2 linked regions of the Ovis aries genome follow. The protein of the gene in region 1 interacts with the protein of each later gene in a pairwise test. Links are inferred from orthologs where the notes say so. Each region holds a gene or a part of one and is shown on either strand. Other genes may lie near its edges.

Region 1 (4,119 bases):
ACAAACATCTTTTCAGCTTTCCAGTATATAATCAGCCTCAGAATGGCAACCATTTCCTATTGTCAGGTAGTTGGTGAGAAATGCAAAGTACACCTGCAACCAGCGGCTCAGGAAGATCAAGGTGAACACCAGGCCTTGGCTCTCACTTCTACCATTCTGTTACCAGGTACGGAAAACTTCAGCGAAAGGACAATTAAAAAATACACATTTTAGCCAGGTATTTGTATGGATGTGAGAGTTGGACTGTGAAGAAGGCTGAGCGCCAAAGAATTGATGCGTTTGAACTGTGGTGTTGGAGAAGACTCTTGAGAGTCCCTTGGACTGCAAGGAGATCCAGCCAGTCCATTCTGAAGGAGATCAGCCCTGGGATTTCTTTGGAAGGAATGATGCTAAAGCTGAAATTCCAGTACTTTGGCCACCTCATGCGAAGAGTTGACTCATTGGAAAAGACTCTGATGCTGGGAGGGATTGGGGGCAGGAGGAGAAGGGGACGACAGAGGATGAGATGGCTGGATGGCATCACTGACTCGATGGACATGAGTCTGAGTGAACTCCGGGAGATGGTGATGGACAGGGAGGCCTGGCATACTGTGATTCATGGGGTCGCAAAGAGTCGGACACGACTGAGCGACTAAACTGAACTGAACTGAACCCCCTTAAAGGTAATGATTAATCCTATGATGACGTTTGTTTGTTTGTTTTTTCCTTTCTTTCTTTTTGGGACCTAAGCGGGGGAGTGGGGGGGGGAGACATCAGGGTGTCACGAATTTCTATCAAACAAGAAAATGAATTAGCTTAGCAGTCTTGGGAAAACTATGAAGTTATGGCAGCTTTGCAGGTGTCCCAAGATTTGGGTTGCTTTACAGGAATAACTGAATTCATGGCACAATTAAGTACTGGTTCAAGCTCATGCTAAAATATCCTAAGTCCCTTTTACTTTAAATCATTCTAAGTATGCTTTTCTTTGGAAGGCATCAACTGCAATATGCCACTTCCAGAGATGCATTCCTATACCAACTAGACTTTAAAAATGGTAATTACTCTAAAGGCACACCCTTGAGCAACCATCACACCGCACTGAGCTCCTGAGAATATTCTGGAAGCATCACTGTGAACAGTTGCTTCTCTGTAGGGGAAAAAAGTGAAATTAAACAGAAGCAGCAGCTTCTGTATGGAGAAACACGGTTTGACACTTGGAATCCTTTTCTACTGCAACAGGTTTACCAACAGCTGCGTTCCTCTGGAGTTTTGAATCTGTGAATCCTTGAGTATCACTCCGCCTTTTTTTTTTTTTTTTTTTTAATCATGAAATACCTTCTGTATACCGTACGGCAGGAAGAGAAAGTTTGGAAATTACATGCATAAGACTCAGCTAACCCAGATGACATACATGCAATAGCATTACTTGAAGAACTTATTCAACCCAATCCTTTGCATCTTGTTAACCAAGGCACAGAACCTCTCCAAATTTTGCACCAAAGAAAAGAGAGAATGCAAGGGTCTTGCTGCAGCTCCTGGGACGCACTGAACACCACCTTGTTACAAGTGTATCCAAAGCTCCCAGCACCAGGGACTTGGGCGGACTGCTTCTCTCTGTTTCACTGTCCCTGAAGCTTTCAGAGGAGACGGTTGTGCTATGAATGCAGACCTTACAAAGCAGGCCAAGAAGATGCTTCGTACCCCCAAGTGCTCGCGGTGCCGGAACCATGGCTTCCTGGTACCAGTCAAGGGCCACGCGGGCAAGTGCCGCTGGAAGCAGTGCACCTGCGAGAAGTGCTACTTGATCACCGAGCGCCAGAAGATCGTGGCTGCACAAAAGATGCTCAAGAAGCAGGCCTCTGGAGAGGAGCAGGAGGTGGCCCTGTGCGCACAGGGACCCCAGCTGGCCCCCGGGGGCGCGGCCGCCACCCCAGGCCCAAGCTTCTGCCCGCTGCTTCCGCTTGCCCCTTTGGGAGACGCGCAGCCGGGCCCTTCGGGCCAAGCGGCCGCCTGCCTCCCTGAGAGGCCCCCGCGGGGCCAGAGCCCCAGCCCGAGTGCCTTCCAGCCAGTTCTGGGCGGCCACAACCGCGGCCACGTGGGCCTGAGCGAACAAGCAGCCAGGGCCAGGCCCAGCTCTCTGGAGCCCCAGCTGACGGCGGAGGCCGCCGGCCGGGGCTACCCCGGCTGCCTGGAGCTGCGCAGGCTGCCGCGGCCTGTGCCGAGCCCGCCGTTCACCGACTTCGGTAAGATTCCCGGTGCCCTGAGCCTTTGTCCCGCTGTTGGTTCCTCTCCGCCTCCCCACTTCCCTCACTCTGGCGTCCCAGGCCAGCCGCGCGTATGGGCCCTTGGGGTGGGGGTGGGAAGATGCTTTCTAGAGGGAATCTTGCTTCGGGATACCTTTTTCTGAGTAGGCATTTGGGTTTGGTGCCTTTTTGCAAGAAGGTAAAAAGAGAGAAAGGAATGGGTGGTTCTGAGGGGGTAATTTTAAAAAACATTTAGCTATAGTCTCTGCTTTCCCATTCCGGGAGAAAAAAAAAATGGCCGCACACACACAAAAAAAATGGCCCCCCAGTCTGCTTAGCTGAGGCTCCTCCTCCCAACAGAGGGGATCGCGGGAGAGTGGCCATATTGCGCTTGCGCAACTCTTCCCACCCTTTTCTGGTGCTGGAGGCTCCTCCCCCAGAACGTCCTCGTGGGTGGGCCAGCGCCTTATGACTGCACCTGCGTCCCTCCGCCCACCCCTCCCCCATCTTCTGTGCCCTAGTCAGCTTGCTCCTCAGCCGTGCTCTGGCCCAATGGCTGTGTATGGGCGTTCTTCCCACCTGTTTCCCAGGCATGGATGGGAATGAGACCTCTTTTCTGCTCCCTACAAGAGAACAGTCTATTGAGACGTGGTTGCTGTTTTTCTCTCCTCCCTCCACATGCATAAATTACATTGTTCCCTAGGTATTGTAACTTTCACTATTATAATTTCAAGTCACATGTAGGTTTGAGACTTTTAAAAAGGGGCTCATTTTGGGTGCAGACACGTGTTTTCTGGTTTTCTCTATGGCAGTGTGGTAGAAAGAGCGCAAGTCTGAGTCAGGACGCTGAGGGGCTGCTCACTTGGTAATCTAAGGCAAGTTCCTTCCTTCTGTGACAGCCTCGCCCCTCTGTAGGCTAAGGGGATTGGCTTGATGCTCTCCGAAGGCCAGTTCTGCCTTCTGGGACGTTCTAGGAAAATATAGGTCCCTAGAGAACTAGATGAGGAAGACAGATCTGAAAAGCAGTTCTAGGAGAAGGATACCTTTCTACGGATATGGAGCCTTTCTTTGTTCCATCAACTGAGCACTGTGTGCCCAGCACTAGTGATGAAAAGGTGAAGAGGGGTGAGTCAGATTCCTTGCCCTCAAGGATCTTGTCCTTGTGAAAGAAAAGGACATCACAGAGAACTCTAATAACCAGTGGTTTAGCTGTGGTCTGAAGGAAGATCAGGAGCTGAGCACTGAGGATTCAAGAAGGCAAGTGGAGTTAGGAAAAAAAGCCTTCCAAGCAGAGGGGACAGCATCTGCAGAGGCCCTGAGGTGGAGGAGAAAGAAGGCGCTACTAGTGATCAGACAGTGAGGCTGGAGTGAAGGCAGGAATGCAGTCTGCGTGGGCTTCATGGCTGGGCCAAGGACTTTTGCTGAGGGCAACAGAACATGGTTGAAGGGTTTAAAAAGCAGGGAGGATCAAAAGCATAATGGATATGGGAGTTGTCTGTGAATGGATATGAGTGTTTATTTATACTGCTACCTTCAGACGATAATATGGTGCCCTTTTTTCTAGCTCCATGTGTTTTTAACACTTCCCTCGTTGCATGTCTTTTCAGGGCTCCCTCTGAGCATCAACTCAGATTCTGTGGTGGGGTCTGAGTGCCTGGAGAGAGAACCTCCCAAGCTGTACCCCAGCTGCTCCAGCATGCACCCCTACCGCCCTTTTCCTCTGGGCTACCAGGATGCGTCCCCAAGTGTGGGGATCCCTCTGCAGCAGAGTTTCCAGCACCTGTCCTATAGCCACTACTATGGAGGAGGCTTGGTGAGTCCCATTCCTGATATTTTCGAAGTTCCTCCCTATTTCAGCTGCCCTGGCTGCTTTAACAGACTTTCTCCCAGGCAGCCA
Region 2 (3,517 bases), on another chromosome or scaffold:
AAAACAGTATTTGGGGACAGAAAGGCTTTTTTAAATCACTTACTACAGTATATTAAAGATGAAGAAAATATGACCCCCAAAGTTCTCAGAATTGTAGTTCTTTCAGTGTTCAGTATCACACTGAGACATTATACACAAAAAGAATATGCTTTGTAATGTTCTGCCTACAGTGAAGGGAGCTGGTCTGATAAATTTTATAGGAATAGTTCTTAGCCAATGAAGTTAGCAAAAGAGAATGAGGGTGGTTTTCAAAATTCTAGAAACCTGAAGTCGTTCTTTTGTCATTCTTGTTTATAGAACTGCTAAAATTTTTGGAAAAAAAATTTTTTTTAATAGTTAATGCTGACAAGAAAAATTAATTCAAAGGGACATAGTAATACCAACATAAAAACATTATCTGAATCTGAAATATGATCCCTAAATATATTACTTTACTGTATTTGATAACCTTCAGTGTCTATAAAGAAGCACTTTTCACATGTAGATTTAGTTACTATTTATAGAAAGGTGTCATGGCTTAGCCAAATTAGAAATAGACTAAGTGCAAAGATGCTTATAGGTCAGGCTTGTAACTTAGGTCTTATACACTGTGAAACTGCATTTTTCATGGCATCTCTCTGTCATTTTAATTATAGAATCATCACATTTTAGAGCATTTGGTTTAATATTTGTCAGTAACAGTTTATGCTGAAGCCTGGAAAACCTCCAAATGTTATAGTCTAACACTCGGTATTTACAAATGAGGAAACTAAGGCCCAGAGAATTTAAGAAATTTTAATTTAATTAGAATTAAGGCACAGAATAAGTTGAGACTTGAACATGTAGTGTATTACTACAGCTAATGTGCCATTTATTCTACTTTTAACTGTAAGACGTTTTCCTCATATATTTATACCCTTTCAAAAATAGGGTGAAGATTAAGTAAATAATACTCTGGTGCTTGGAATGAAGTAGACAGAAGGCTTACATTACACAATGATGTGTTATGAATATATTTATTAAGTTGTGTCCAGAGTTGATGACTGTAGGCAATTGGTGACTTATTGAGTCTAGGACAAGTCTGTCATACTTGGACAAATTTTCCAGTTTTCCCTTGGAAGAAACTTTGAAACAAAAGTAAAGCTTTGAAACAAAAACCTATTAGATACACAGCCTGAGTATATCTTCAGTTCAGTTCAGTTCAGTCGCTCAGTCGTGTCCGACTCTTTGCAACCCCATGAATCACAGCACACCAGGCCTCCCTGTCCATCACCAACTCCCGGAGTTCACTCACGTCCGTCGAGTCGGTGATGCCATCCAGCCATCTCATCCTCTGTCGTCCCCTTCTTCTCCTGCCCCCAATCCTTCCCAGCATCAGAGTCTTTTCCAATGAGTCAATTCTTTACATGAGGTGGCCAAAGTACTGGAGTTTCAGCTTCAGCATCATTCCTTCCAAAGAAATCCCAGGGCTGATCTCCTTCAGAATGGACTGGTTGAATCTCCTTGCAGTCCAAGGGACTCTAAGAGTCTTCTCCAACACCACAATTCAAAAGCATCAATTCTTCAGCGCTCAGCTTTCTTCGTAGTCCAACTCTCGCTTCCATACATGACCACTTAAGCCTAAATCTTATGACTAATTGTTTGTTTGTTTTTCCTAATAGAAATATGAGTTCAGCTGGCCCTGAAGGGAGAAAGGTGATGAGGAGGTGTGATGGACTGATTGACTCACTGGTCCATTATGTCAGAGGCACCATTGCAGATTACCAGCCAGATGACAAGGTGATTTAAGAGTTAGATATCTCTCATTATTTTGTCTTACTAAGACTTCAGAGTATTCTTGAAGTAGCTGCTTGGGTTTGACTTTATTCATTAACTCATTTGTTGAGCTTAAGATTTCCCATACATGCTCATAAATTTTAAAATCTATATAGTCCAGTTTTTCTTTCTACTTTCCAGACCCAAATTTCAAACTGTTTAACACCTCTAGATATTTGAAAGGAACTTAGATGCTACATTTTCAGCAATGAAATTCACCTCTTCCTTCATCCCCAAACTTGCTCCTCTGTATAATCCCTCTTAATATTTATCACCATCTACCAAGTGAAAATAAAAATCTAAGTAATCTAGGACTTCTTCTCTTCCATCACATCCCACATCCTCTGGACAACAAATCATGTGCATTCTACTTCTGAAATACTCTATAGTTTAACCACTCTTCTTTAATGCTACTACTGCTATCCTAATTTGTGCATCTTTCATACTGATTATTGTCGTCAACTCCTGATTGATCCCTATAAGTATTATCTCCTCCTGTTTTCCAACTCCCATGGCTGGTAAGCAATATACCTAAAATATAAAATCATTCTGAACACACTGTAAAAACCAATGTTTTAAAAAATTTAGCCTCTATTTCTTAGCATTGTGCTCATGACCATTTATGATTTAACCCTAGCCTTTCTAGCCATACTTATGTCACTCCCCCAGGCACCCCGTAGTCCAGGCACACCCTGTTGCATCCAGTTAACCTTGTAAGATCTAAAGCCTCAGAAGTTCTGTGATATGATACCTGCGAAGTTACCTGTATATACATATATATAATCAATATTCTTGTCCTGTTTCTCAGGCCACAGAGAACTGTGTGTGCATTCTCCATAACCTTTCCTACCAGCTGGAGGCAGAACTCCCAGAGAAATATTCCCAGAATATTTATATTCAAAACCGGAATATCCAGGCTGACAACAAAAGCATTGGGTGTTTTGGCAGTCGAAGCAGAAAAGTAAAACAGGTATATTGGGAAGTCTTTGAAAGAAAAAGTGTGCGTGTGTATTTCTAAGTACTTAGTGTATGTCAGGCTCTACTTTAAGTTCCTTTAATCTTTGTATCAGTCCTATGAGGTGTATTAATATCTTCCTTTACTGATGAGGAAACAGAGATACAAAAAAGTTAATTGATTTTTCCAAAATAATTCAGCAAGTTAGTAAAGGAGATAGAATTCCATCCCAGGCAATCTGGCCCCAGATTTACATTGTTAGCCATCAAACCATATGCTCTGTGCCCCACAGTTTAGGAAGTAAACTTAATACCATGTGGCCAGTGGTATAGCATTGTCTTAACATTAAAAGAAGCCTAGACATTCAGCTTTAAATGTTCTAGAAAACAAACAAGATATCCTAAAAGCAAACCGCATAGGAAGGACACCTTCCAGACTGGCATTTTATGAAAATTGAAGGAATGTGATCTCTCCTACTCCTCAGAGTACCACTGTGTTGATGAACTTGTAGAATACTTGGTAAATTTAGAATCCTGATGCTATCCTGGACAACTTCACAAGACTCTGAGAAGAGGCCTGTTTTTCTTATCTTCAGAGCAGTTGTGATAATTTAGCTTTTAGCTTATCAGCAACCTGAAAAATATTCTAGAACAGTCTTTGGTTAATTCTCTGTTATTCTCTCTCACGGTGAGGGAGAAATAATCATCATGGGCTAAAAGTTAAGTGATTGTAAATCATACATGTGTGCCTTTTTAATAGTTAAGTTCT

Evidence for each region.
Region 2: the proteins of DMRTB1 (region 1) and PKP2 interact in a two-hybrid assay, tested with the Homo sapiens proteins (2 studies listed by BioGRID). The link is inferred for Ovis aries from reciprocal best matches to the Homo sapiens genes DMRTB1 and PKP2.

The regions. Positions count from the first base shown.
Region 1 is NC_056054.1:27,981,636-27,985,754, forward strand, and holds the start of DMRTB1 (doublesex- and mab-3-related transcription factor B1), read left to right. Parts: upstream 1-1,315; 5' UTR 1,316-1,636; coding exon 1,637-2,222; intron 2,223-3,829; coding exon 3,830-4,035; intron 4,036-4,119.
Region 2 is NC_056056.1:182,586,464-182,589,980, forward strand, and holds part of PKP2 (plakophilin-2), read left to right. Parts: intron 1-1,640; coding exon 1,641-1,758; intron 1,759-2,602; coding exon 2,603-2,764; intron 2,765-3,517. UniProt on the Homo sapiens protein: A component of desmosome cell-cell junctions which are required for positive regulation of cellular adhesion.